4 linked regions of the Alligator mississippiensis genome follow. The protein of the gene in region 3 interacts with the protein of the main gene of each other region in a biochemical or structural test. Links are inferred from orthologs where the notes say so. Each region holds a gene or a part of one and is shown on either strand. Other genes may lie near its edges. The genes, in order: DUSP3, HDAC6, mitogen-activated protein kinase 1 and DUSP1.

The links.
Region 1: of the proteins of mitogen-activated protein kinase 1 (region 3) and DUSP3, one has a biochemical effect on the other in vitro, tested with the Homo sapiens proteins (2 studies listed by BioGRID and IntAct). The link is inferred for Alligator mississippiensis from reciprocal best matches to the Homo sapiens genes MAPK3 and DUSP3.
Region 2: the proteins of mitogen-activated protein kinase 1 (region 3) and HDAC6 form a complex in vitro, tested with the Homo sapiens proteins (2 studies listed by BioGRID, with this or other methods). The link is inferred for Alligator mississippiensis from reciprocal best matches to the Homo sapiens genes MAPK3 and HDAC6.
Region 4: of the proteins of mitogen-activated protein kinase 1 (region 3) and DUSP1, one has a biochemical effect on the other in vitro, tested with the Homo sapiens proteins (2 studies listed by BioGRID and IntAct). The link is inferred for Alligator mississippiensis from reciprocal best matches to the Homo sapiens genes MAPK3 and DUSP1.

Annotation. Positions count from the first base shown.
Region 1 is NC_081827.1:153,368,393-153,375,709, reverse strand, and holds the start of DUSP3 (dual specificity protein phosphatase 3), read left to right. Parts: upstream 1-4,308; 5' UTR 4,309-4,512; coding exon 4,513-4,634; intron 4,635-7,317. UniProt on the Homo sapiens protein: Shows activity both for tyrosine-protein phosphate and serine-protein phosphate, but displays a strong preference toward phosphotyrosines. Specifically dephosphorylates and inactivates ERK1 and ERK2.
Region 2 is NC_081831.1:28,539,998-28,546,995, reverse strand, and holds the start of HDAC6 (histone deacetylase 6), read left to right. Parts: upstream 1-3,979; 5' UTR 3,980-4,046; coding exon 4,047-4,331; intron 4,332-4,816; coding exon 4,817-4,945; intron 4,946-5,275; coding exon 5,276-5,364; intron 5,365-6,091; exon of another isoform or gene 6,092-6,119; coding exon 6,120-6,204; intron 6,205-6,363; coding exon 6,364-6,404; intron 6,405-6,519; coding exon 6,520-6,616; intron 6,617-6,747; coding exon 6,748-6,845; intron 6,846-6,998. Other genes in the region: CDK20 (cyclin-dependent kinase 20), read left to right, coding at 2,565-2,690, 3,153-3,434.
Region 3 is NC_081830.1:836,528-844,353, forward strand, and holds the start of mitogen-activated protein kinase 1, read left to right. Parts: upstream 1-4,820; 5' UTR 4,821-4,835; coding exon 4,836-5,209; intron 5,210-5,387; exon of another isoform or gene 5,388-5,502; coding exon of another isoform or gene 5,503-5,603; intron 5,604-5,961; coding exon 5,962-6,144; intron 6,145-6,636; coding exon 6,637-6,826; intron 6,827-7,571; coding exon 7,572-7,688; intron 7,689-7,826. Other genes in the region: structure-specific endonuclease subunit SLX1, read right to left, coding at 1,367-1,447, 1,536-1,623, 1,698-1,828, 1,956-2,273, 2,487-2,538, 3,173-3,348; bolA-like protein 2, read left to right, coding at 3,961-4,026, 4,134-4,231, 4,310-4,427.
Region 4 is NC_081832.1:61,872,933-61,880,180, reverse strand, and holds the start of DUSP1 (dual specificity protein phosphatase 1), read left to right. Parts: upstream 1-4,230; 5' UTR 4,231-4,302; coding exon 4,303-4,678; intron 4,679-4,858; coding exon 4,859-5,007; intron 5,008-5,147; coding exon 5,148-5,367; intron 5,368-6,217; coding exon 6,218-6,588; 3' UTR 6,589-7,248. UniProt on the Homo sapiens protein: Dual specificity phosphatase that dephosphorylates MAP kinase MAPK1/ERK2 on both 'Thr-183' and 'Tyr-185', regulating its activity during the meiotic cell cycle.

The sequences.
Region 1 (7,317 bases), on a different chromosome or scaffold from region 3:
TAAAAGGAACTGAACCCCTGGGGTTGTAATATTTAAGCCCAACCAGACAGCTGGGACCTCATGACTGTTACTACCCTTGAATTAAAGAGCTGACAGAACAGTTCCAGGGCATTTTAAAATAGAAAGGTATGCTTTGAAGGGGGCAGTGAAGCATGCATATATGTGTATTAGAGAGAAAAAAATGGCTTCTTCCTAACTCCTTTAAGAAGAGACTTTTCATTACTGGTAATTCCACAGCTGTGCTTACTTGTTGCTAATTGAAGCTGCAGGCGCTGTTGCAGAAGGAAGGTACATTCTGTACAGCACATTATTCAATCCTCATAATCCCTTAACAATAGGGATCAATTTTTCAACTGATGCTTTTGCACAAAATGAGATCTACCATAAATTATTTGTGCTCCAAACACCAAACTTTTCAGGAAGCAGGCTGAGATAGTTTCATAAAGACATTAAAATGTCTTGGAGCAGATCTGAAACCAATTTGTATGGTGATTAAACAAAAATCACCAAACAGAATATTCACTACAAAGCCAAGAATTCATCTGCTCAAGGGATAGACTGCCTGAAATATGAAGTCTGCAACTTTTTAATTTAAAACATTTTAAAGAAACCACTGCTTCCTGCCGATAAAGACCAAGAGCCAACATTAGGTCCAATACAGGAATACTGTTAGAGTTATAGTAATTGTTTTTCGGCGCTATTTTTAATGAATGACACTCAGTTTTTTTGGAAAGGGGCATTTATATCTACTTAATTATAATGATTTGGCAGCTTTGCTCATCATATTCCTCCTACTTATACTTTGTACCTAAAATGAAACCTTGAGCTCCTCAGTAATAACCAGGAGTCAGTGATGTAAACCATTCTTGTCCTGCTGTAACCCACAGAAGAAAAGCTGAAGAAATGTCAAATGTCAAAGAACAATTTAGACAATGTGGCATAAGGAGAAAACAGTTCCTTAAATACAGAAGTCTTAAAAAAGGATATGCAAAGCACGAAAGAGAAAAGTCAGAGTAGTTAACAGCCGGTGTGTCTACAAATGAAATTAATGTGATGCAATATGCTCTGGAGCAATTTGATCCAAAGTAAACTACTCCCAGGCGCAGCATCTACACATGCACCTAGGACAGCAGCAACTTTTAGCCAGAGCAGAGCAGGCCTGGGCTGGCAAGGGGCTTAGAGCATCAGCCCCAGGTTCTGGGTGGTAGCATTGGGCAGTGGAGGGGCTGGCTAGGGCACGAGAGTCCTGAAGTGCAGAGTCGTGTGGCTTGGCAGCAGGCAGAAGTCTGGCCCCTGGCTGGCTGGGTGCAATTTAAGCCAGTGATCAACATCTACACATGCATTTAATCATAGTAAATTACACCACCATAAGACTATCTTACAGCAGAGTTAATTAGTTTACTGTGGCCTAATACCGCTCCACATGTAGACAGTGACACTTTACTGTGCAGCTACTTAGTCTACTCCATGGTAAACCACACATGTAGATGCACTCACCAGGTATTAAGGCAGGCAATAGGAGGAAAACAGAGTAGATGGGAGGAGGACTGTAATGGAAGGGTAAATAAAGCAAAAGATACTGCAAGTGTCTGATCAACTGTAAAAGGTTAAAACAAGTACATGGTATTCAGGTCAGGAAGGCAATTTAGAAATAAATAAGGGATTAATATTTCAAGCCAAACAACAGGTTTTAGACAAAAAGTAGAGCTGAAAGTCAAAGGGTGAAGAAATAGATTTGGGAGCAAGAAACGGCAAGGCAGGAAAGCAGACAATGGGTCTGATTTTCCTCCCATTGGCTTATCCAGTATTCAGAGAATACAACATAAGTCTACATGTGCTATTAATTTGCATTAAATAAAATATTGTGCAGTAAGCCTTCCCCAGAAGCACGTCTACACATGTACCCTGTTGGGAGCAGATTTGCTCCCAAGGGGAGCAGCCCAGTAAAAAGCTGCTTCTGTCCAGCTCTGTTCCCCTGCAGCAGCCAGGGGGAGCTACAGTGTGTGTGTGCTAGCCCTGGGGTTGGCAAGGGGGATAGGGTAGGTCCCAATGTGCATGAAGCCAGGAGAGCTCTGCTGGCTGTACCAGCAGCTGGCCCCTGGCCCCAGGCACATTGGGAGGGGGCTTCTTTCACTGTCACTTCTGAAACAGTCCTTTTATTAAAATATATGTTTGGGTCACAATGGACGTGTCTACATGTGCACTGTAATGCAGAGTAGCCTATTTTACCGTGCATTAGTGTCACAGCAAAAACTGTGCTAATACGCTAATGCGCAGTAAAATTAGGCTACTACGCATTAAGTGTCACTAAGCAAGCATGTGCTTTCACTACTGCGCATCAGGGCAGCCTAATGCACATTTAGTAGTGATAGTACATTTAATGCCCAGTAGCAAAAGCGCACTAATGAACGTGTAAACGCATCCAATATGTAGACGTGCTGAACAAGCACACTATTGCACAATTTTGCTACTTTTCAAAAATATTTAAGCATAAGTTCAACAACATATTTGCTTTAAAAGACTATACAGTTCTTATTAAGCAGATCATAATGATATTGTTGAGTTTCCACACACATTAGAATACAACAGAACCCTCCTGCTTCACTTTGGTACAACTAGCACAAAGACATGGCTCTGGACATCATCCCCAGTTTTAATAAAAATGAAAATCTGCTAGCAATTGATGCAACCTTAGACCAGAATCCAAATAGTTTCAGGTTCCTTGATTCAGGTATTTCCCACATACCTTTCACCATCTGCCCCAAGAAGGTAATTAAAACTGACCTTTTTTCTTTTCCTTTTTTTTTTTTTTTTTTTTAACGTCAGTGGGGAGTTTCATAGATGCTGAAAAGTGATGCAGGTTTATGTGCCTTGATACTGTACATAGTGAATGAAAAATATTAACCACTTCCAAAGGGCAATCCAAAAAAAAAGCAGCCAGAGATGCTTAGAGGTACCCAATGAACACCACAAAACCTCAGGGCGTGTAGTGATCTTCCACTCTTCTCAAGAGCTCAGACACCTGATTCAAGCTATTCCTTAGGCATCTCTTGAAATTCAAAATTCATAGACCAACTTCTGAAGTTCAGCAGTTCAGAATGCCTGGTCTCAGTAGCCCAGTGGGCTGAACATTAGGACCTGCACAAATAGTTCCCAAATCAATATCAATACTTACAAGATGAGTCAGTCTGCCTGCTTATGGTTTGAGGGACTGTGGTGGAATTTAGGGTTGTCGAAGCACCTCTGGCAGCAATACCTCGTTAGTGCTCTGCTGCCTTCTCTTGTCCCAAGAGGTTGGTGTTCAGACTCTTTTTGCAGGTGCAACAGAGACGGTCCAGTCTCCATTTTAGCCTTTACTGCTCTGAACCCCTAAAAGGGTGGGAGGACTCACGATGGTGCAGGCTAGATTGCCGGCAGACCGTCTTGACCGCTGAGAGATTTCTCAAGAAGCAGGGATTTCTGAGATGAGGCAGTCTCTCATTGGACCAACTTACCCATTTGGAGAGGTGCTCGAGCTTTGGGGTGCAAAGTGTGTTCCTTCAGGCCTGGCAAAGAAGCTGCTACAGCTTAAGCCAGTGATTTGTGAACTTTTTTTAGACTTGAGGCACCCTTTAGAAAGTGCCAGCTTAGTTGTTTTTTTTCCCCCTTTTGTGTTTTGCCAACAAAAAAATAATACAATTCTTCTGTGGTGAGGAACTTTGGAAGACCACAATGGCGCCGCATGTTTGTAACACTACAGCTTCCCGTGCAAAATCCTTTGTCAGCTTCGTCCTGGGAATGACACATGCGCTCCCGATGAGGCTGAAGTTGGTTCCTGGGAATAAGGAACCGGGAATAAGGCACAGGCAACCGGGAATAAGGAACCAACTTCAGTTTCATGCACTCCTGGCAGTACGGACTAGTAGTAGAGGCGATCTCTTTTATTAGACCAACAAGACTTTTGCAAAAAAAAAAAAAATTTATTTTTTTTTTTTGCAAAATCTTGTTGGTCTAATAAAAAGAGATCATCTCTACTACAAGTCCTGACTGCCTGTCCCTCTAGAGCAAGGCGGCTGCAGCCTGGACGCCCCCCTGGCAGTACGACTCTTGCGCGGCACCTCTGAAAGGAGCCTGGGGCACCGCCGCGCCCGGCCGAGAGCGCCTCGCAGAGCAGCCTCCCTCGGCTGAGAAAGGCGATCCCCTCAGCAGGGAAGCGCCGGGGGGGGGTGTTAACTGGCGAAGCACGGCCGTTCCCCGCTTGAAGAGCTCACGTTTGGTGGCACGGGGCGGGGAGGCCGCAGAGCGGGTGTCTGGCCGTGCCCTACGCCGCCGCCTTCCCGCGAGCAGGGCCCGAGCCGCCCCCGCGGGCCGGCGGGGGGAGACGGGCAGGGAGCGAGGGGGCGCCCGGGCAGCAGCTGCCGCCTCCCGCGCCGGCTGCCGCTACCAGCTGATCCCGGCCCCTCCTATCAGGCTCGGGGCGGAGGGAGCGGGGCCTGCCCAGCGCTGCGGTGCGGTGCGGTGCGGGTGCGGGCCATGTCCGAGTACCGCATCTCGGTAGAGGAGCTGAACGACCTGCTGGCCAACGGCAGCGGCTGCTACAGCCTGCCCAGCGCTCACAGCAACGAGGTGGCACCCCGCGTCCACGTGGGCAACGCGTGAGTGCGCCGAGCCCGGGCCCCGGGCCCTGCCCCCGCCCCCGAGCGCGGCCGGCCCGGCCCGGCCCGGCCCGGCCGGGGGGCGTGGGGCCTGGGGGTGGGGGCTGCTGTCGGGGCGGTGGGGCCGTGAGGTGCCGGGGGGCAGGCCTGTAGGGCGCGGGCCCCCGGGCCTCGGGAGGAGAGCAGAGGTAGAGTAGAGGAGCGGCACTGCCTTGCTCTGGGGCGCGGGCGGGCGGGAGGAGTTTCTTGCCGGATTCAGGGTGAGGGGGCGCGTTTCTGGACGGCGGTAAGGCAGGGACCTGGGAAGCATCAGCAACAGGAGCTGATGGAGACCGCTCGAGGCCTGAGCTACGAATGGGAGGAAACGTTGCTTTCCCGCCAAAGTCGCCGGCTTGCGCGACTGTGTGGGCCCCCTAGCACGGCCTGCCGTCAAAAAGGACATGCCAAGCAGGAAGAGGGGACTTGACGGCGGGTGTGTCTACACGAGAAATAAATGCAAAGGAATAAACCGCAGAGCAGGTTGTCCGCTGCTCCCAGGTGCAGCATCTCTACGCAGCCAGGGGAGCAGCGGTTTGAACCAGGGCAGAGCAGGCCCCTAGCTGGCTGCTGGGCGCCTGCACGCTCTCTACACGGGCATTTCGGCACAGTAAAATACTCTGCAGTAAAATAGTACTGTTGGTAACAGCACTATCTTCCCGCAGGGTTAATAAGTTCACTGCACCCTAATACCAGCACCCATGTAGACATTGACTCTTTACTGCAGAGCTAATTAGTCTGTTCTGCAGCAAAGTGCATGTGTAGATGCACCCAAGGAGAGTTAGTGGAGACAGGCTGCCCCTTTGAGCTGAGTGCTGCTCAGATGCATGGCCCTGGCCCCAAAGAGTTTACAGCTTGTGGTCTTTAGCCTACAATTAAGTGTGCCAGTGTGGACATGCAAAGCCCTACTTAAACCGGATTGCAGCATGGAGGCTAAACTGACCAGGTACAACAAGTTCATGTAACGTTAAAGCAGAAGGAGCGGAGACAGGGACAGTCCTGACAAACATGTGAGGCTGCCTAATCTAACAACATGCACAACTTCTTAATATAGTAAGGGAGGCTTTCATAGGGCCTACCTTTTGCTTTCCTTAACTTATTTTTTTTTTTCCTGTTTGTGATTGGTCAAGTAAGTGTCATGGTTTTGATTCTGTTCTGCTATTGGCTGAGAGCAAAAAGACACCCTATGCAGGCAGGCAGACCAGTGACTGACAGGTTCTCTGTGACTGTTCTGGTCAGTAAAGCTCGACTGCTTGAACGTTTAGGTAAAGTGGAGGCAGCAGCCACAAATCCAGGATATCAGTGTCAACAAATAATTAAGAAAATATGTTATTTGTGCACTTTGCTATTTCTCAGATGCAGCATATTTATTCAGGCCACTCGGCTCGTAGATTCAGTTCCCTGTTTTGTCACTCACCTGCTATAACCTTAGGCAGTCACTTAATCTCTCAGCACCTGTCTCCTTTCCCAACTATTAAAGCTATTTAGACTGTACATCCTTTAGAACAGGAAGACTGTCTTATGGTATGTGTATAGCACTGATCTAATTTGGGGGCATTCAAATATAACAAAAAATAATAAAAAATCATGTAGATGCACCCATTTTCTACCTTTTACCTAAACCAAGGGTTTCTAAACCCTAAACCACCTTTCTCCTAGGGTTTCCACCTTTCTTTTAAACAAAAACCAAGCTCTGCCTTTGTGTCTACTGCCAAGCTTTGCAACTCAAAATGGGCACATCTACGGGTTCATTAATGTGTTTTAGGTAGTGCGCATTAAATCTAGTACCTCTATTGTGAGGTACTAGAAAAATGTGCATTAGCTACAGAGCAGTTTTTTCCATGACGCTTAAATGTGGATTAAAATAGGCTAATGTGCATTAAAGTGCACTTGTAGTGAAAGTAAAGCACCCAGTGAAAGTAATACTGCTTCAAGATTAACACTAAGAGTTTTATCTCAATGGTCAAGGATGCTTCCAGGCATTCTTCTTCAGGCCTGCTCGCTCTCTCATGCTGCCTGTGTCTCTCTCGCATTTTCCAACAATCCAGGGAAAGATCTAAAATTATTGCTGATAAAATTTGCAGATGGCAGTAAAAAAGAAGTCCAAATTTATCTTCTTACTGTAAGAATGACAATAACAAATGAACAACAAATGAAAACCTTGCAAAGAAAAACATTAAAAGTCACAATATATTCATATGAATACATTGCTAAACAGCTTCATTGTTCCCGATAGTCCTCATATTCTGACTGTGGTTAGCACAGATGGAATCCTCCTTCTTTGGAGCCTTTGGATGGATCTAACAGGCTTGTGTTATTCCTCCTTCCCAGCAGGCACTTTGAGCAGGACGTGTGGTGCTGTAGCTGAGAGAAAAGCCATCCAAATTTCCCCTCAGTCTTCTTCAGTTCCTCCTTCACAGTCCGTAGTGTAGTAATAATGAGGCATTTAAGATTCCATAATTTCCACAGCAATGTTGTGATGTCACAAATGTCCTTTGATGTTGCAGGATTATGACTTCACTGCAGGTTCAAACAGAAGGCATAGCCAGGCAAACCTTTGTTCAAACATGTCTTCCCAATAGAGGTGTGGGAGGAGTCCAATTCTAGGAGTGACTGAAAGCTAATGGCATTTCATTATGGCTATTAC
Region 2 (6,998 bases), on a different chromosome or scaffold from region 3:
TACCAGGTTCTCCCCACCCCCAACCTGCTGTGACCCCTGGGGGTTGCCATGCCCCCCCCAATCACACCCATCCCAATCTGCCCACCTTCCCTAGCACGGTTGCTATGGTAACCTCCTCAGTTACTATGACATCTACCCTGTTGTCATGGTTTCCCATCATGGTTCCCATCCCCATCCCACATCCATGCCCCATCCCTCATCCATGGTTGCCATGACATCTACCCTGGCCTATCTTCCCTGCCCATGTTGTTTTGACAAAACCCCACTGCCCAATGCCCCTGGTTCCTATGACACCCACCCTAGTCATCCTTCTGCCTGCCCTGCCCCCACAGTTGTCATGGGACCCCATTCCCGCCAGGCTTACCATGACACCCATATTGGCCTACTGCTCCAGTTTCCTGCCTCAGTTGCCATGACACAGACACCAGCCTATTCACCCCAGCTTCCTGCCTCAGTTGCCATAACAGCCTTCTTGTGGTTGCTATAATACCCAATCCCCTTTGCCATTGCCATGACACCCACACCAACCTACCACCCCAGCTTCCTTCAGTTGCCATGACACCCCCGTTATCATGGCACTTACACCAATCTACACATCACAGCCTCCAGCCTCAGTTGCCATGACACCTACCCATCATGGTTGCCATGATGCTGCACACCCCAAGGTGGCACTAACCCTCACTCTTTTCCTTCCCTAGGCTGCCAGCTGTACCCAGTGCTGGGAGCGCTGCCGTGGGGGGAGGGCTCAGCCTTCACTGCGGGGGGCTGGGCCCCAGGGGGCTACAGCAAGGCCCTCCCTGGCCCTCCCTCACCCCCACCCCCCCCTGAGGCCCGGGACAGCCCCACTTTCCTGGAGATGCTGAAGACGGAGAGGCCCAGTCCTGGGGTGGGGGGGGGCACTGAGGGGCTGGGGCTAGGCCTGGGCCTGAGCCTGGGCCTGGGCGGGGGCTATGGCAGCCCCCCTGACCTGGCCTACCTGGCACCCCCTGGCCCCGCCTACCCCCCTGCCTTCCGGGGCAGCCTGCCCCTGGCATCATGTGGTGAGTCCTCTCCCCATCTGCCTCAGTCTCAGCTAGGATCAGGCACCTCCCCTCCTGTGCCAGCCAGGATTGGGACTCCCCAAAGCCAGAATCAGACTCCCCCTGAGTCAGGATTGGGCTCCCCCCTCCTGCCCCAGATAGGATTGAGGGCTCGCTCAGACTAGGACCAGGACCCACCTGCCCCCAGCCAGAATTGGAGCTACACAGCCCGCACCCAGGATTGGGTTCCCTGTCTCCCCCACATCCATGATCAGGACCTTCCTTGATTTTCTCTGCCTCCCACCCCAGGATTGGGCCCTTTGGTTGGGGGGAGGGTATAAGCTCTTACCAAGATTGGGCAGGGGGATGGAGGGGACATAGAGCACTTGGGGCTGGGCAGGATCGGGACCCCCTAGATAATGTCTCCCCCCGACAGAGGCGCGGGAGTGCGTGAACTGCGGGGCCACGGCCACACCACTGTGGCGCCGGGATGGTACCGGGCACTACCTATGCAATGCCTGTGGGCTGTACCACCGTGTCAACGGTGCCAACCGGCCCCTCATCCGCCCCAAGAAACGTCTGGTGAGAGATCCCCTCCAGAATCCCTTTGTGGACCCTTCCAATACATCCCTTCTACCCCTCCCCCCCACCTCATGGACCCTTCTGATACACTCCACCTGTGACTCCCATGTGGACTCTCCCATGCTCTCCCCCCAGATCCCTAACATGGAGCATTATACACCCCTATGGACCCTTCCAATACAGTCCCTCAGGGATTGCCACATGGACCCTCCCAACCGCTGCACAGACTCTCCCATTACAACCCTCCCCAGGACCCTCCCAATACACCCTCCTGGGTCCCCAGCTAGGACCATTCTATACACCCCCCACACAGACCCTTCCAGTACTCTCGTATAGACCCTCAATATATGGACCATTCCACACACTGTCCTCCCACATGGACTCTGCTAATTCACTCCCTCCACTGACCCACAACATGGACCCTTCCAATCCCCCAGGGACCTCCACATGCACTCTTTTATAACAACCCCCCACCCTGAAACATCCGCATCATCCCCAGGACCCTGACATGGACTCTCCCAGGCCTCTGCCTAGGACCCCCAACATGGACCATTCCACACCATGGACTGTCCACCAACATGAACTGTGTTAATTTACCCCCTAGGGTTGGATCCCTAACATGGACCCTCCCAACATCCCCTGCAAGGACCTCCACATGGAGTTTTCCAAACCACCCCCCAGGGATCTTGGCATGGACCCTCCCAATACACCCTCCCCCCCACAGACTCCCAATATGGACCATTCTTCTCCCCCACATACATGCTCCCAATGCACCCATCCATGGGACCCCCAACCACTTGTTCCCTGGAAACACCTGGTGAGAGACCCCCCACCAGGCTTCCCATATGCCCCCTGGGGATCTCCAAACCCCTCCTGGAATCCCCATACCCCCTAGGGACTCCATCCAGACACCATGGGGACCCTGTGACCCCCACCACTTGACCCCTGCCCCCCCACCTCCAGGTGGTGAGCAAGCGAGCAGGGACCCAGTGCAGCAACTGCCAGACCACGACCACAACACTGTGGCGCCGCGACCCCCGCGGGCAGCCCGTCTGCAACGCTTGCGGCCTGTACTACAAGCTCCACAATGTGAGTGCCCCCCCATTCTTGCCCCAGGGCCACCTGAGTTCCTACCCCAGGGCTGCCCGGATGCCTGGGTCCTTTTCCTGGGAAGGCCCAAATGCCTAGGTTCTCATCCTGTCGTTGCCCAGGTACCTAGGTTCCATCCCTGGAGAGGCCCAGATGCCTGGGTCCTTTTCCCAAGGCCACCCTGATGCCTGGGTTCCTACCCCAGGGCTGCCTGAGTTCCATCCCTGGAGAGGTCCAAATGCCTGGGTTCCCACCATGGGACCACTCACATATCTGGGTTCCATCCTCAGGGCACCTGGGTTTACATCCCTGATGGGGGGGATTGCAGAGGGATGGGGCATGGTCCTGGTCACCTGGATTCTTTCACCAACTCTGGGAGGGGAATGGGGGCTGGGATCCCAGACACCTGAATCCCTCTTGGCCCCTGGATGCATGGATCCCTTCATGACCCCTTCCCTGCAGGTGAACCGGCCACTGACCATGCGCAAGGATGGGATCCAGACACGGAACCGCAAAGTCTCAGCCAAGGGCAAGAAGCGCCGCAGTGGAGAGCCAGGTGTCCGGGCCCTGCCTGGCCCTGAGGGCCCTGCCCCGCTGGAGCTACTGACCCCGTCCCCCCTAGGAGCCGAGGACCCTAGTGCTCTCTATGCCCTGGGGCCTGTGGTCCACCTGCTGCCCTTCTCCCCCACCCCACACCTGCTGGGCCCCACCGCCTACCCCACCCCTGGCTCCTCCCTGGCCTGAGGGTCAGGGATGTGATCTGGCCCTATCCCACATCCACTAGGTCCAGCCCCCAGCCCAGCCCTACCTCTTTGGCCTGAGAGGTGGAGTCACAGCCTGGACCCAGCACCTCTCCCTAACCTGCCCCCAGGACTGAGTGGTGCAGCTACATTCTGACTATGACCCCCACCTGCTGGACCCCACCCACTGACCCTGAGGGGGTAGAGGCCATGGGTAAAGCCCCACCCCTGGGTTTGAAGGATTGAGCCATATCCTGCCCCAATGCCACCTGCCGGACCACCTCTAAAGGTACATTCCCCAGCCTGAGGGGGTGGAGTCACTGCTTTGGCCTGCTCCCTGGCTCCACCCCCAGGCTCTTGCCTAGTCCCGCCCCCACCGAGGGGAGGGGCTCTTGATGGGTGAGACCCTTGGGGGAAGCAGGTGCCGAGAGTCAGGGGTTTTAGGGGTCATGGGGCTCCAGGTCCCCCCCCACCCCAGCCCCCCCAATAAAGAGTCTGTCTCTTTAAGATACTGGTACTTTGCCTTTAATTGCCCTCAACTAGTGTCCGTGGTAGTACCCGGCCCCCACCCAAGCATTGGGAAAGTCCCAGTCTCCTTCCCCCTTTACTGAGGTGAATGGTCTCTCCCACCCCTCTAAGTGCGCATGTGCAGGGGAATTGTGTCACCCAGCTCTGCCTGCCCCGCGCGGTACGAATGGTCTCGCTCAGGGCAGGCCAATCTGACTCCATCCGGCAGCGCCCGGGAGAGACCATCTTTCTGAAGGGGGGGGGGGAGCAGATGAAACCATTTCCCCCCAACCCGGAGCCTCTCACGCCTACTTGTAATCCTCCCTGCCTTGCCGCCGCGATGCCCCCTGGGGTCTCTCCGGGGCCTGAAGGACCCAGCGCCCCGGCACCGTCGGTAAAGTAGCCGCCCCACCACTTGCCCCCCCCCCATATGGTTATGGGGAGTGGGTACCACGCTGGGAGAGTTGAAACCCGGTACCGGGGTCCAGGAGGGGTGGGGCTTATGATACTGAAGTGGGGCCAAGATGGGGGGGGGAAACTGACAGGGTGGAGTAAAATGGGGCGGGGCCAGGCTGTGGGAGGAGCTTGGTGCTCAGGGAGCGGGGCCAGAACGGGGTGGAGCCTGCGGGTAAGGAAGATTGGAGGTGGGGCTTAAGGACCTGGGGTGTGGCCTAGGTCAGGTGGGCGGGGCTTGGAGGCCAAGGATGGTGCCTGTTTCTCTCAGGGAGGTAAAGCTGGAGGGGAGCCAGGAGTGGGTGTGGCCTGACCACTGGAGCTGGATTTCCGGGCCGTGTGGGTGTGGCCTGACATGAAGGGGTGGGTTTGATCCCAAGGTAGTGTGGCCAGAGCTCTGCAGTCTGTCTTGTCATCCCCTTGTAGGGCCGGGCTGGTCGGCAGGCACCACCCCCTCCCCGCCGCAGCCCAGGGCTCCCTGAGGCAAAGCGGCGCGGCCGTGCCCGGAGGTTGCATCAAGAGGTGGCCGAGCTCCAGGATGGGTTACAGCACCTGGTACGGCCTAGATACCTGCGCCTCATGGAGTGGGGGTAGAAACTGGAGGCCTGTGTCCCCACAAGGTTTTGGCAGGGGAAGAGCCTGGACACCTGAGTCATTTTGGAGGTGGGGGGGATGGGGGTTGGTGGGAGCCCAGATGCCTTGGTCTTCTTGCTGGGAGGGGACAGGGGCCTGGTGGGTTCGATGGTAGGGGAGCCATTGGGGAGCCCCCAGCTGCCTGGGTTCTCCTGCTCTGGACAGGGCAGTGAGGCAGGGTATTATGTTGGGAGGGAGATACTGGAAGTCTGAGTTCACTATCTCCTGTGTCCTTCTCTACCCCCCCTCCAGGATCTGGCTGCAGAGAAGCCAGTGCCCTCAGGGACAGGCCTTGCTTATGATAAGGAGCTCACCAGCTTTCACTGCCTTTGGGACAAGAGGTGAGGGAAGCTGCTCCCTTCATCTGCAGCTCCTGTGCTGCCCTAGCTCCCTCATGAACTTCTATCTCTAAGGGTGGCACATCTGGGATCAGTTCACCAGCCTGGGACTCCAGTGCCACTCTGAGCTTGGCTTGTTACCCTGGGCTCTGTCCTGTCTCTCCCTGCTCCCCCCCCCATCTCTGTAATGGAGGGGGTGGATCTGGGATCAACTGGTCAGCCCGAGGATCCCCAGTCCCAGTCTGGGATTGATTTCCCTAGCCTGGCCTACAACTCTCTCCCCCCCACCTATGAGTCCCCATCATTGTGACAGAATCTGGGATCAACTCATCAGCCTCGGTTCCCCAGTCTTACTCTGGGTTTGGCTGGCTGACCTGGTCCCTCCCACCCCTGCTCCTTTTGTGTCTCTTCCTGACCCCCCAACCCCACCCATATTGGTGTTTCTCACACCTGACCTGCAGTGCTCCCCATGGCCCCAGGGTGCCCCTCACTCCTGACCCATAATGAATCCTACTGGGCCATGGATCCACAGAGGGAGCTGGGGCACCCAGATACCTGGGTTCATGGAGGGGATCCCAGACACCTGGGTTCACTGGGGGACCTGGATGCCTGAGTCTACCAGAGCCTGAGATGCCCAGATGTCTGGGTTCATGGAATGTGGAGAATGGCTGGGGGACCTGGATACCTGTGTCCCCATAGCTTCACAGTGCCCCTCACTCCTACCCCACAGCCTCCTGACTCTGCCCTTATTGCTGCAGTTTCCCTGAGTGCCCAGCCCGGCTGACATCCATCTGGACCAAGCTGGTGGAAGATGGATTGGTGGAGAGGTGTGTCCCTGTGCAGGTGAGTCAGATGCCTGTGTTCTCTGGGAGTGGAGGAGAGGCTGCAGGTGAGAGTGGTGGGGTAGGGAGGATGAGAACTCAGACACCTGGATTCTCTGGGAGGGGTGTGGGGCTGGGAGCCTGGATGCCTGGGGGTTTTTTTAGGGCTATCTCTTTGCAGGCCAGACTGGCTACGGAAGAGGAGATTCTGCTGGTACACAGGTGAGAGAGTTACTGGGGGTGAGGGGCACTGCAGGTCCATGGGTTTGGGGGGGGGTTGCAGGTTGGGAGTAAGGAGGGGAGTGAGGGGCACCATGACCCCCTCCTCACTTTGCAGCCCCCAGTTCCTGGCCCTCATGGCCTCAACTGCCGACATGGAGGAGGGTAAACTCCGCGCCCTCTCAGACACTTACGATTCAGTTTATTTGCATCCGGTAAGCCCCAGATTTTGGGGGCGGGGGGCTTGAAGCCCAGATGCCTGGGTTCTCTGGCAGGAGAGGTGGGTGAAAGCAGGGAGGGCTAGGAACCTCGATGCCTGGGTCCCTCACCATCCCCACCCCTGCAGAATTCATACCACTGTGCGCGGCTGGCAGCCGGCACTGTCCTGGCCGTGGTTGACAAGGTGCTGAGTGGGGAGCTGAGGAATGGGCTGGCGCTGATCCGGTAAGACGGGCTAGTGAGGTCTGGGGGGTGGGGCTAAGGGGATGGGAAAAGGGGCTGGAGGTGGGGCCTGAGTTCTAAGGGTGGGGGGTTATAGGGGTTGGACTTAGGGGCCCAAGAGGACAGGCCTAGCAGGGGAGGGGTGGGATGAAGCAC
Region 3 (7,826 bases):
AAAGGGGAGTTGGGAGATACTTAACACCCTGATTCTAATTAATGTATTTAATTACTAATGAATCACCTATTTTAATAACCAATGGCCTTTAGCTTCCCTTATGAATGAGCTGCAGGGAGCAGAAAGCCCTGGGGGTCAATATGGGGAGGGGGGCGGGGATCTTGGGAGATGATTAACAGCCTGTTCCTAATTCATTTAATGTATTTAGTCACTGATTAATCACTAATTAACCAATTGATGGCCTTTAGCTTCCCTTATCCCAGAACTACTCCAGGGAGAAGCCCCAGGGGCCAATACAGGGGGCAGGAGGGACTGACTGGGGGGTAATTAAGACCCTCTCCCTAATTAATTGCTAATTAGTCAGTGATTAGCAGGGGGGAGGTTCATGGATTGTGCCTCAGTTTCCCTTCTGGATGGGCCATATGGAGGGAGGGGGAGGGGGACCTGAGGCAATTAACTGCTTGATAATTAATCGTTTGTGAAACCCCTAGTTAATTAACCTGTGCCTAATCAGTTAACCTCTTCATTCCCTGTAGTTTCCCTTACCCACCAGCTACATAATTGAATGAGGGGAAATGAAACACTGAGACTTAATGGCTGGCTTGTTATATATCCCTAATCAATTAACCTAAATGACCTGGGATTCATCCCAATTAATTAACCTGTGCTTAATTAGTAACCTCTGGATTGCCTGTAGTTTCCCTTAACGACAAGCTACATCCTTGGGGGAGGAGAAATGAAGCATAGACCAATAAGAGAGGATGAAGGCAGAGCTGACAGTTGATGAACGATCTTTAATTAATTAACCTGGGCTTAATTAGTAACCTGGATTGCCTGTAGTTTCCCTTAAGGACAAGCTACAGCATTGGGGGAGGGGAAATGAAGCATAGACCAATAGGCTGAAAGCGAAGATGAGAAGTGATTAGTGACCTGTAATTAATAAGCTTTCCTCATCAACGGCTTACAGGGAGTTAAATATGCAAATGCAACAACCTACATTTGCATATTTAATTCCCTGTAGCACACTGACGAGGGAAAGTTATTAATTAAGTCTCAGTTCCCTGTCAAGAGGAGGGGAAGGCAGGGCTTCCTGGATCAGGGAAGGCCCCTGATTGGTGGGGTGGGCAGGTGGGGCTGGCTGGTGACGCGCAACCCAGATCTGGCACCTGATTGGTTCTGGAGGGGGCAAGATCTGTGTTCAAGGTAGAGGGTTGAAAAAGGGAAGCTTCGTTTGATTGGTGGTTGGGAGGGGGAGGAGTTTCCGTGTCGCCGCCCCCTCCTGTCCCTGGTGACCACTGGGTGCTTATGGGGGTGGGGCCAGGAGGGCCAGGTCTCTGGAAACCCGCCAGCCATTCATGAGGCCCACTCAGGAGGCTTTGGCAGCTGGCTCCACCCACTCCACCTGAGGCCCCGCCTTTTCAGCCTGCAACTCTTCTGTCCAGTGACCCTGCATTGGGGAAGGGGCAGAGGGGTCAGAGGGCATGGCCCGCGGCGAGGGGTGGGGCTTGGAGATGGGGGGGGGGGTCAGGGCTTACCTGGGAGGAGCAGAGGTCGTCCTCAGGGTTGTCGCGGTAACCCAGGTGGGAGCGAATCAAGTCACCCCAGAGGACGACCGTCTTGCAGCTATCGGGGGAACGTGGGGGTCAGTAGTCGGTGTGGAAACAAGAGCCCGCCCCCCACCCTTCCCCTCCACCTACCAGGGGCAGCGGCCCTCCACCGGCAGGAACTGATGCGGCTCGTCTTGCAGGAAGTAGCGCGCCAGGCAGGGTGGGTGGGCCGCCAGGGGGCAGCCTGATTGGATGCAGCGGAGGGGGGCATCCACCTCGCCCTGTGGGTGGGGGGGAAGCAGAGGGAGCACCCAGGCAGCCAAGCTCCTAGCCCCGCCCCTCCATGACCCCTGGTGTCCGGGCTCCGCCCCTCCTCGGTGGGAGGGAGACCCCGGGTGGCCGGCTTACCTGGAAGTGCCCCTCGCAGAGCTGGCAGGTGACCCCTGGCACGGCCGGAGGGGGCAGGGCTTGGTGGGCCAGGCGGGGCTGGTCAGGGAAGGGCCCATAGGTGATGGGCACGTGGGGGGGCGGGGCCAGGTCAGGGAGCGGGGCCGGGAGGCGGCCAGGGCGGAGCCAGCGCAGGGCCAGGGGCAGGCGGTCCCAGGGGGGGACGCGGAGAAGTTGGGCCAGGACCCCCAGGGCGGCAGCGAGGGGGGCGCCGGGGCGGCGGGCGGGGCCGGGGGGCAGGCGCCGCGACGCCCCAGGGTGCTGCCATGCCCACTCGAACTGCGGAGAGAGAGGGGAAACCGGGGTGAGGACCAGGTGTCCAGGCTCCTAAATCCCTAGGTCCAGCCCCGCCCCCCTCCCAGAGTGCCCAGGCTCCCTGCTCTCACCCCCGCCCACTCCCAAGGACCCCAGGCCTCTGGGCTCCTGAACCCCTTAGGCCTTGTTGCTCCCATCCACTAGGCCCCAGTGCCCTCCAGGGGGCGGGGCACTCACCCGGAGGGCAGCCACATTGGAGGGGAAGCCATGGACGATCAGCACCATCTCCCTGTGGGGGGGGAGCAACGCATACTGGGAATTGCTGCTGCAAAGCATGTTGGGAGCCAGACCCCCAGAGTAAAGCATGCTGGGAAACTGGTGCTGCTACAGACAAGTATAAGTATGTTGGGACACCAGTGCCTCACAGCAAAGCAGGCTGGGAGTCTGGTGGTTGTGCTGCAAAGCATGCTGGGAAGCCAGGCACATAAAGCAAGGCATGTTGGGAGTCTGATCCCTTGCAGCAAAGCATGCTGAGAGCTTTACCTGCCAGGTGGGAGGCTAGGCCCATAAAGCAAAGCATGCTGGGAGCTTAGTCCTCCCTCAAGCAAAAGGTCTAAGCCACTTTCAGCAAAGCATTCTGGGAACCAGGTCCCTTGCAGAAAAGCATGGTGTGAGCCTGGTCCTCTTACAGCAAAGCATGCTGGAAGCTTGGTCCCTCCCAGCAAAGCATACTAGAGGCCTGGCCCTCCTAAAGCAAAGCCTGCTGGGAGTCTAACCCATGTAGAGCAAAGCCTGCTTGGAGGGCAGGCCCATAAAGCAAGGCATGCTGGGAACCAGGTCCCTAGCAGCAAAGCATGCCAGGAGCGTGATTTCCTGAAAACAAGGCATGCTGGGCAGTAGCCCCGCCCCCCACGGTGGCTCACCATGGCCCGCGCCCACTGGTGCGGCGCGCGCCGCCATAGCGCCGCCCCCGGTTGTGCTGCCGCTCCCGGCGCCGCGGCTCCACCGTGAAGCCCACGTAGACGCGGCCCCGCCCCTCCGGGCGCGTGCACAGCAGCAGGTACACGCCGCGGAAGCCCCGCCCTGGGGCTGGTGCCATGGCACCGCCTGCCAGGCAGATGGGGGCGGGGTCAGGGGCGGCCCCTTGGGGGCCTGTTTCCTGCCACCCCCACTCCCACGCGTCTCATCACGCCCCGCTGCCCTTCCTGTGCCAATTTCCCAGCATCCCTTGCTTCTCTAGCTCCCACCATGCCCTGCGCTGCTCTCACCGACTCATGTCCCAGCATCCTCTGCTCCCATCATCCCCTCAGACACCAACTTCCCATCACCCCTTGCTCCAGCCATGCAGCCCACCATGCCCTGCTCCCCCTTCAGCGGCCCTATCGCCCATCATGCCCCGCTTCCTTGCCCACACTCCCATCACCCCTTGCGCCATCCCCAACCGGCACGAACCCCGCTCCCGCCGCCGGCGCGTGCGTCCTGGCCAATCCCCGCCCTCCTTCCTCCTCCCCCGCTCCCTGATTGGCCGCAGGCGCCCGGGGGGGGGCGGGACGGGTCGCTCCGCCCGCCCATTGGCCGAGCCCTCAGGAGAGGCGAGAAAAGAGCGGGGAAAGGCCGCCCTTCGCTGCCACTGGCCGGAAAAGGCGGGAGCTAGAGGCCGGAACCGAGGCGGTAGGCGGAAGTGGGGGCGGGACCATAGGCGGAAGTGGCCATGGCAGCGCTGAGCGCAGAGGCGGTGCGGGAGCGGCTGCAGCGGGAGCTGGAGGCGGAGCACGTGGTGCGTGGGGGGGTGCTTGGGTTCCCGGGGGGCACGGGGCCGGGGACGCCCGGGTTGTTTTGGGGGGGGTGGACGCCTGAGTCTCCTTTGCTCCGCTTCCCGCGCAGGAAGTGGAGGACACGACCCCCGAGCGCTGCTCCACGTCCTTCCGGGTCCTCGTGGTGTCGGGCCGGTTCCGGGGGAAGCCCCTGCTGCAGCGGCACCGGTGAGACACGCCCCCCCCTCCTTCTCCCCCCACCCTCCCGAGAGCCGCGGCGTGCGGGCTGACCCTGCCCCCCCGCAGGCTGGTGAACGAGGCGCTGGCGCAGGAGCTGCCCCACATCCACGCGCTGGAGCAGCGCACGCTGACGCCGGAGCAGTGGGAGCAGCAGCGAGCGGCGCCCGGCACCGCCCGGGAATAAAGAATTATGGGAAACGCGCCTGGGCTCGGCCTCGCATCTGTGGGAGCGCCGGGGGAGGGGCGGGGCCAGTACGGATGAGGGCGTGGGTAGTAAGAAAGGGGGTGGGGCGTTGTGCCGGGGCGGGGCTTGTGGACCCTGGGGGTGGAGCCACTGTCTAGCTTAGGGGCCGGGCGGCAGCAGGCGGGCGAGAAGACCAGTGGGCGGTCTCTTCCGACTAAGGGCAGCGGGGTAGCGCGGCTTCACTCCGGCGCTTTGCGCAGGCGCCGAACGACCTCCTTTTCCTTTCTGGGTACGGAACGCCACGCATGCGTACTAAGCTCAGTGAGGGCAACAGCGGCTGGGCGAGGCTTCCTCCTGTCGCTCTGCGCAGGTGTTGCACCTCTCTGCCCGCCCCTCCTGCCAGTGGGCATGCGCTTTAAGGCAGTAAGGGTAGAGTCGCAGCGTCACTGCAGCGCTCTGCGCAGGCTCTCTTGTTCCCGCGCATGCGGGGTTGAGCACTGTGGGCAGCAGTTCTGCTCTGCAGCTTCACGCTGCCGTTGTGCGCAGGCGCCTCAGGGCAGCCGGGCGGCAGCGGCGCCTGCGCGCTGCGTCCGGGCGGTTCCGGGTGCGGCAGCGGCGATGGCGGCGGCGGCGGCAGCGACAGCCCCGGGCGGGGCTGGGCCGGTGGCGGGACCGGGGGCGCCGAAGCTGGGCGTGGAGTCGGTGAAGGGACAGGCCTTCGACGTGGGGCCGCGCTACACGGAGCTGCAGTATATCGGCGAGGGCGCGTACGGCATGGTGTGGTGAGCTGGTCCTGCGCGGCCGCCGTAGCGAGCCCCCGGCCCGGCCGGACCCCTGCGGGCCACCGTAGTCGGCCCGACTGCGGGCACTGACTCTTCCGCGCCGCCGTACGCGCGGTGGGACCCCGGAAGTGACCCCGACTATCCCCCGTGTGGGCAATGGGACCCCGGAAGTGACCCCTCTAGGTCCCCGTAGGGGCAGTGGGGCCCCGGAAAGATTCCTCTGGGACACCGTAGATTTCCGCCCCTAGGGAGCTAACCCCTGCGAGCCACTGTGCCCCACTGCATTGTGGGCAATGGGCTCCCTTCAGCTCAGCATTACATTTATGGCTCGCCAGGCCACTCTAATCGTCTCTGTTACATTTATGAAGGCCTTTGCCGCTGCCTCCAGGCCACCGTACGCCACTGCATTTCTGCCCCCCCCCCTGCTCCCGGTGCAGCACTCCTCCAGGTTACCCTGGCCCCTTCGTTCCCTCCAGGCTGCTGTTGTACCGTCAGCCCTCTGCCGCAAACCTTGGTTGTCGCAGCCCGTCTCCCCTTACGTTTCCGGTGCCCTGTGCCACCGATCCCTCCTGGGCGGGGAGGGTGGGGGTGTACTCGGGTCAGTGCCATCTCCGCTCCCCCCCATTACATTTATGGCGCCCTCTGCTCCAGGCCCTCCCAAGTTGTTGCGGCCCCATCTCCCCGTACGTTTCTGGTGCCCTCCCAGGCGGGAGCCGTAGCTGAGTCTGTGTCGCTCATGCTCTCCCCCCCAGCTCAGCCTACGACCACGTAACGAAGACCCGGGCGGCCATCAAGAAGATCAGCCCATTCGAGCACCAGACGTACTGCCAGCGCACGCTGCGGGAGATCAAGATCCTGCTGCGCTTCCGCCACGAGAACATCATCGGCATCAACGACATCCTGCGTGCCCCCAGCCTCGACCAGATGCGCGATGTGTATCCGCTGCCCCAGAGCCAGCCGCGTCGCGGGGGGGAGGGGTCCCACCCCAGAGCCAGCCGCAGCGGGGAGGCAGTGCGCTGTTATTGCCAGGCCTGCCCCAGAGCCAGCTGCACCGTGGGGGCGGGGGGGCCCCAGTTTCTCACCCCACAGCCAGCTGCATTATGCGGCAGGGGCGTCTAGTATATCCAGCCCAGAACCAGCTGCATTATGGGGAGTGGGGGCTGTTGTACCCAGCCCCTAGTGTCTCACCCCAGAGCCAGCTGCATTATAGGGGCCCTCTTACAGCTAGTCCCCAAAGTCCCACCCCTGAGCCAGTTGCATGATGGGGCCCCGTTACACCCAGCTCTTGACTTCCTGCCCCAGAGCAGCTGCATTGTGGAGGCTGATGTTACACTCAGCCTCAGCCCCACCCCAGAGCCAGCTGCATTACAGGGACCCGGTTATGCCCAGCCACCCACCCCACCGTGGCCCTTGACCCCCGCACCCAGCTACATCGTACAGGACCTGATGGAGACGGACCTCTACAAGCTGCTCAAGACGCAGCAGCTGAGCAATGACCACGTCTGCTACTTCCTCTACCAGATCCTGCGGGGCCTCAAGTACATCCACTCGGCCAACGTCCTTCACCGTGACCTCAAGCCCAGCAACCTGCTCATCAACACCACGTGCGATCTCAAGGTGCGGTGGCAGGGGGGTCCTGCCGGGCCACTGTAGCCCGTAAAACACTTGTCCGGGGCTGTGTGTCCTCAGGGGACCACCGTACCCGATGTCTCTGTGGAACCCGCAGAGCCGATCTCTGGGTGTGCTGTGGCCTCTCTGGGCCACTGCAGGACACATACAAGGCACTGATTGGGCATCGGTGGCCCCCGCGGGCCACTGTAGGACCCAGCAACCACACCTCTGGGGGTCTGTGTCCCCTTTGGGTCACCATACCCCACAAAATGAGCCCTTCGGGCCTCTGTCCCCCCTCCGGGCCACCGTCGGACCTGTGAAACCCATCTGTTGGGCTAGCGGGTCCCTTCCAGGCTACTGCAGGACTCCCAGTACCCACGTGTGGGGTATATATGTCCCCTCCAAGCCACATGATACCCACCTCTGGGGCCCCAATGCCCCTTTCAGGCCACCGTAGGACCGCCAAAGCCCATGTCTGTGCCCCATAGAGCCCATAAAACCCAGCTATTGGACCCCAAACCCCTGTATGGGGCATATCTGGCCCTTCCAGGCCGCTGTAGAAAAATTAAACCCACCTCTGGGGCCCTAATGTTCCCCCCAGGCCACCATAGGACCCCAGAGACCAAAGTTGGGGCTGTAATGTCCCCTCCAGGCCACCATCGAGCCCCCCAAACCCCTGTATTGGGCATATCTGTTCTCTCCAGGCCACCGTACTTGTGGTGTGATGCCCTCTGTCCTCCCCCACCCCCAGATCTGTGACTTTGGGCTGGCCCGGATCGCTGACCCCGAGCACGACCACACAGGCTTCCTCACCGAGTACGTGGCCACGCGCTGGTACCGCGCCCCTGAGATCATGCTCAATTCCAAGGTGAGGCCCCACACGCCTGGCTTCCCTCGGTGGGGAGGGGGGGCGGTAAAGCGGGACTCGTTCCATTCAGCCGGGCCACCCCTGACTCAGCTGCAGCATCGGGCCTGCCTCAGAGCTGGCTGCAAACCCGTTACGCCC
Region 4 (7,248 bases), on a different chromosome or scaffold from region 3:
AGCAGGGCAGAGTGGGGTCAGGTGGGGAAGTTCAATACCGCTGCCAGGAGCTCCATGCTGCTATGGTGAGGTGCCTCCTGCCTGCCCGACAGCAGCAAGGGGTGCAACTCCGTGCTGTCACCCCTGCTGCTGCTAGGCGGGCATGGGAAACCTTGCTATGGCAGTGTGGGGCTCACAGCAGCAAGTGAGCTTCCCTGCCCCACTCTGCCCTGCCATATTGGGTCCCACCCGCTGGGCCACGGAGGCCCTGAGGGGAGGGCAGCAAGGCAGGGAGCCTGAGCCCAAGCCCACAGTGGGTAGCCTACCCTAGCCCTATGCACAAAACTGGGGGACACATGACCATTATGCCCTCCCAGGAGTGCGTGCAGAGCGGGAAGCCAGCCCCCCTCCCCCACTCACCCCTGAAGGAGCTACTTGTGCCCCGTCCCGCTCCTCCTGCAGTCCTGTGGCTGCGTATTCCAGCCCCGGGCCCCAAGCTCCATTCACCGCCCCAGCCCTGCTCAACTCCTTCCCTCCCTCTCCCACTGTGTCGGCCTCAATCCCCAATTCCCTCCCCCACAACCCTGATTTACCTGCCAGGAGCTGCTCTCCAAGCTGCCTGGTGGCTATGTGAACGCATGAGCACGCATGCATGCAGTGCCCCCTGCCTGGTCGCTCTCTTCCCACTCCCTCCAGCCCCTTGCACGCTGGAACTCTGCCAGCCTGCAAGGGGAACCCACCGTTTCCCACACTCTTCTCCTTTGAAGGAGAAAATCCAGGTTTTACCGCATTTTTCCATAGCATACGGTAATCCCTGGTAATCAGTCAGCGCTTGAGTGGAAGAGTATTTGAACCGTCAGTCCTGTGACCTCCACATCATCATCCAGACTACTGGAGAAATTAGGGTTGGTGATAAGGAGATGACATTGCTTTCTTGAGTCATGGCTGGCCAGATACATGCCTGACCACAGCACTAAGGGGTACTCTGTTGATAACAAAAAAAAGGTGTAGTTTAGAGGAGATATTAAACTGAAGTTCTGAGTCCTGACCTCTTGGCTCATGGACACTAACAATCTCTTTGCTGTTTATTATGCCCGGTATCCTAATCAAAGTCTGCCTCAGAATTACATTCTTCTTGCCTAAATCCTTGTTGCATTTTCAGCTGGATACAGGCTCCTCTGCCTGTCTTAAACTGCTGCAGTGCACCACATTACACCACTACTGCATTCTGCCTTTCAGAGGAACAATGCGATTGCTGGATATACACTAATATATAGGCAAACTCCTGAAGCCCCCACCAGCAAGAGGGTGTTCTGCCCAAGAAAAGACAATAAACTGAATAAAGGTCCCTGGTTTGGGCCTATTTTTCATAGATTGCTTTTGTGTGAAAAGATTATATGAAAGTGTTTCTAAATAATTATTACTATTATTCTCCCAGAAGAGAAGAGATGTGGCTGCCCTGGTTGATACATTTTTAAGTGAGCTGTGATGAAGGTTGATAGGATCAACTTGCTAATTGCCTCGCACACATGTGAACAGAAAGACTCTGTTACCTTCTCATCAAACGGGCACTCTGATGAGTGGAACATTTCACCGATCATGTCTGCCGGGACATTAATGATTCACTGGAAATGATGTGCTGTAAACTGCCTCCATGGCCCTTGTAATAGAGTAATGACAGTGGGCTGGGAGTGGAATGATTTCCCAATAGCGAAACATATGACTGTTTTTATCACAATCTGTCTCTAACTTATGGTGTTATGATAATAACAATAATAAATAATCAGGCATGAAAAAGTACAACTCTTGTGTTTATGTTTGAAGAGCGTCGAGAAAACAGATTTGCTCAGCATCGAAAGCTTTGATAAAATGGAGGCAATTCCATGGTCAATTAATGAGCGACAAGACCCGGGAAGAAGATCCTGGAAGTTTCTAGAGCATTTGGTCAGACACGAGTTGGGGACTGGAGAATTTTCTAGAAAATTCTAGGGGGATGGATTACAGACGGGCAAGGACTGGAGGAGAGAGTTCGGGGAAGTTTTAAGGAAAACTGATTATTTCCAAACTGGCCAGGAAATGGTTTAGACTGGAAAGTTCAGACTGGCAAGAGCCTGGGGTAGAGTTGTGGAGAGTCCCAGAAAAAGTGTGGCAGTCAGGGACATGGGAGGGCACGGCACAGGCTGTTTGAGTAGGGAACAGTGGTGTTCAAGGGGCTGAATGCAAAGAAGTGATGAGAAGGAAACAGAAAAGTGAACGGTGTGTGGGGCACGACTGGAAGAAAGAAATTGCAAAGAGGGGCAGGAGGAAAGAGGAAGCAGAGGCAGAGCGGACCAGGTACAGAGCGACGGAGAGCACAGAAGAGAGAGAAACAGGCTGCAAGACCAGGCTCAGAGGCTGAGCCGTGGGGCAGAGGAAGTGAAACTCACCATGACTGGAAGCCCTGCATAAGAAACACCCTGGGAGCTAATCACCCGCTGGGAGGAGAAAAAGCTTTTGGGAAGCCTCGCTGCACTGGCGAAAGGGGGGAAAACCAGAGCTTGACTGGCTTCATTGCCAGTAGCCGACAGCACTGGTTTCTGTGGGAATTTTGAGCCTGCTGAGCAAATGGGCCCAGGCTTTTCCCCCCATTTTCTCTGCCTGAAATGCACTGAAGGAGGAGGACTGTTCCCCCCTCTGTAGGCTACGTAGCCAAGTTCCCCACCATAGGCTACGTAGCCAAGATGTGTGTCCGAAGAGGCCATTTCTTAGACACTCCCTCACACTTTGTTTTGAACCCACCCTTTCCACAGCCTGTGCAAAGAGCACGTGGAGCTGTAAGCAATGCTAGGAGCATGGGCGTGAGTGTGAAGAAGCAAAAGATCCCTGCTCCCACCCTGAGCTGCAAAAACATAAAAAAAAATGTTTTACTAACAAGGCAAATCAGCTAAGTCAAGTCCAAATCTATGAATCAGTCCAGCACCATAAGTGGCCCTACAACCGGCAAACATCCTCCACCCCTACCAGGGGCTTCAGATATTTCCAAAGTCTTTTGGCAGGCATCCTATGTGCAGGCCCAAGCCCGGACACTTGGGGTTCAGGTGCCCGCTAGTTTCGCCTGCCCTCAGCCATATGGCTGCAGAAGCAAGCTAGGGAGGAGCCTCTCATTTCCGTAAAGTGGGCTTTAAGCCCCAACACCTTGGCGGGTACTAAACCACGCCAGAAGAACAGTTATCCCTGGGAACACTTAAGGAAAACTGCCTTCAGGGACCCAGATAAATGGTGTTTCCCTGTAAAAACATTTTTTTATATATAGAATTTGTATCCAAGGCCGAATTAGCCAAAACTAATTCCAAATCCAAGAGTCCAGAACCATTAAGTGGCCCTACTACCGGCAAACATCCTCCACCTGCACCTGGGGCTTCAGATGTTTCTAACACCTTTGGTGGGCATCCTACTTGCAGGCCCCAGCCCAGAGGCTTGAGGTTCAGATGCCCCCGAGTTGTGCTTGCCCTCAGCCATAAGGCCCTCGGAGCAAGCAAGGGAGGAGACTCCCATTTCCATAAACTGAGCTTAAGGCTGCTGCACCTCGGTGGGCACTGACCCACACCAGAAGGGCAGTTCTCCTGCGAGTGGGTTCAGGAAAGCTGCCTTCTTGGACACAAGTCCTTGGTATTTCCCCTGCCAGGTTAAGAAGCCACTACACTTGATCTGAGCTTTCAAGGGGCCAAGAAGTCCTTGTAAAAACATTTTTAAAAATTGAAATATATTTCTATATAGAGAGAGTTTTATATCTATATCTATATATATATACATCCTCTATCATAAGCTTTCCATTAAGAAACCCGAGCCTCCCCTTACAATAAACGCCCCTAATGCCCCCTGTAAAAACAGCAGAGAGCAGAGCAGCAGGAAGGAGAGCTCACAGCACAAGGGGGCAGGGGCTGTCGCGCTGCCCTCACACCAGGGGGCCAGCGAGTGTTTCTGGAGCAGGTGAGAGACACTCCTAAGGAGCCCTGGTCTCCCTCAGAGCCCACAGGCCGCCCCTGGCCGACCCCCAGCCCCGGGCGGCGCCGCCACGTGCCCCGACTCGCAGAGAACACCAGGAGCGCAAGCGGCTGCCTGCCAATGACGTCAGTGCTGCTGGCGGGGCGGGGCGGGGCGCGTAGAACTGGCCCCCCGCCAAAGTGACGTCGCCCCCCCCAAAGGCGGTCACATGGGCCGGGCCTCATTCATAACTCAAACGAGGCGGGGCGACGGCTATATAAGGCAGCGGCGGTGGTGGGCCTGACACACACAGACACACGCTACACGCAGCAGCACGGAGCTACCCTGGGGGTTGGAGTGATGGTGAATATGGACGTGTGCGCCCTGGAGTGCGCGGCGCTGCGGGAGCTGCTGCAGGAGGGCGCGGCGCCGTGCCTGGTGCTGGACTGCCGCTCCTTCTTCGCCTTCAGCTCCTCGCACATCCTGGGCTCGGCCAACGTGCGCTTCAGCACCATCGTGCGGCGCCGCGCCAAGGGCGCCATGGGGCTGGAGCACATCGTGCCCAACGAGGAGCTGCGCGCCCGCCTGCTGCGCGGACACTACCGCGCCGTCGTGCTGCTGGACGAGCGCAGCGCCGAGCTGGAGCTGGAGCGGCCGGCGCGGGACAGCACCCTGCTGCTGGCCGCCAGCGCCCTGTGCCGCGAGGCCCGCGGCACCCGCGTCTGCTTCCTCAAGGGTGAGCGCCGCCCGCGGGATCGGGGCAGGGCACGCGGGATCGGGGCAGGGGGACGCGGCTCCCTACCCCCGCTGCCAGGGGCGGTCGGGGCAAAACTGAGGGCACAGCCCAGCCTGGCAGCCCCAGGCGTCTCAGCACCGGCTTGATCCTAAACCAGCTTTTCTCCTTTCCCCACGGCAGGAGGGTACGAAGCCTTCTCTTCCACCTGCTCCGAGCTGTGCACCAAGCCATCGCCTCCCACGGGCCTCAGCCTGCCCCTGAGCGCCAGCAGCGTGCCCGACAGCGCCGACTCGGGCTGCAGCTCGTGTGGCACCCCGCTGTACGACCAGGTGGGTAGGACGTGAGCGGTGGGGGGAGGCGGGCGGGCGGGCGGCCGGGGGGGAAAGCAAGCAGATTGCAAAGGGGGGAGAAGCTGTTGGACATCGCAGAATGCAACCATCTGATCGTCTCTCCCCGTCTCTCCTCTCAGGGTGGCCCCGTGGAAATCCTGCCATTCCTCTACTTGGGTAGTGCCTACCACGCCTCCAGAAAGGACATGCTGGACGCCTTGGGGATCACGGCGTTAATCAACGTCTCGGCTAACTGCCCCAACCATTTTGAGGGGCACTACCAATACAAGAGCATCCCAGTGGAGGACAACCACAAGGCGGACATCAGCTCCTGGTTTAACGAAGCCATTGATTTCATAGGTAAATGAGCTCTCCCCGGCGTCTGTGCTTCTAAGCGCTGAGCAGGCATTATTACCCTTGTGGCAGAAAACTCGGATGAGCTCCCCCAATCGGGTCTAAATTTAAGATGCATCATGTTTCCTCAGGATTTAAAATAAAGAAAATCAGCAGCTATCCCTTATGGGTGCTCCCTGAAGGCTGTATTACTGAGAGCTGAGGATCTTTAGAGCAGTAGTTCTCAACCTTTTTTTTTCTCTCTTTTTGTACCAGGACCCATTTGTAAACATCAGTGGCTAGTCCTGACCCAATGCCCCCTGCCCCAGTGTGCGGGGCAGGGGGTAGGTGGATATGAGGCATGGGGGGCCCCAAGCAGCCCCTTTCAGGCTGGAACTTTGCCTGCCTGCAAGGGAAAAGCCATAGCTTCCCACACTTTTTCTCCTTTTTGAAGGAGGATTCCTTTTTAAAATTTTGTTTATGGTCCTTTCATACATTCTTGTGACCCACTTTTGAGTCATGACCCACAGGTTGAGAAGCACTGCCTTAAAGGATCCTGAAGGTTGTTTGCTTTCTGTACCATGTTATCCGATTCAGCCTGTGAAATTTAGTCTGCATCCACTGATGGGAATTGATATCTGTGGGCAAAGGAAACTGTTGGTATGAATTGATTCAGAGGTTTTTAGAATCAAAACCTTTGCTATCTGCCTGTCTCAGGACGGGGGTCCATTTTGTCTGCAAAAGTGCCATGGACTCTTGGAGTGCTAAGGAAGTAAAATATTAAATAGAAGTACAATAGCATGAAATAGCAAGGCGTGTTTCTGTAGCTTTTGCAGCAGCATGACCCAGGCATTTAAATGAATCATTTGTATTTCAGACTCTGTTAAAAACGATGGTGGAAGGGTATTTGTGCACTGCCAAGCTGGCATCTCCCGATCGGCAACCATCTGCCTCGCTTATCTCATGCGGACCAACAGAGTCAAACTGGATGAAGCCTTTGAGTTTGTGAAACAGAGGAGAAGCATCATTTCCCCAAACTTCAGCTTCATGGGCCAGTTGCTGCAGTTTGAGTCCCAGGTCCTAGCCCCAAACTGCTCAGCAGAAGCTGGAAGCCCAGCCATGTCTGTATTGGACAGAGGGGCATCAACAACCACAGTCTTCAATTTCCCTGTCTCCATCCCTGTACATGCATCATCCAGTGCATTAAGCTATCTTCAGAGCCCCATCACCACTTCTCCCAGCTGCTGAAAAGCAGATAAGAACTTGCTCAGAACTCAGAGACTTGACCCTTGTTATTTAAGAAGTGCAATAACTCTGGGGACAGTGTCATCGGTCATTTTCATTCTCATTGTGCTCATCCATCATTCAGAACAACACACTATTACTAATCGGAAGGAGCTTATCTGGCTCCAGAGAGCTAGGTTCATTCTGACTTGACTGAGAATTTTTTTGACCAAATCTGGACATCTACCAAGAAGTCAAAAGGACATTGCTTCCTTCTATTCCATCTTTGTCTTCTGTCAGTTCTAAACCTAGTCTGTGTTAAGTAGCACAGTCACCAGTATTTCCATTCCTGGACATTCAAAGCAAGTGACACTGTCCCTTTTTATACAAGTCCTATTATTTATTTATTTTTATGTAAATGTGTTGTCTCTGCCTTCACAAGCCTGAAGCTTCATTTCTAGAGAAACCAAATACCTCAGTATTTTTTTTGGTACTGTAATCCTGTACATACATCTTAAACAGTTCCCACTTCCCAAGCACTGACGTGAGAGCACCAGATGAGTGCTTTTTTGAGTTGCCAAGGGTTGTATGTTTGCTGATTTTATTTATGATGTGAAATAATATATTTCTTCTTATGAAGACATAGTTTTGCTACACAATTACTACTTTTTATACAAACAGAAT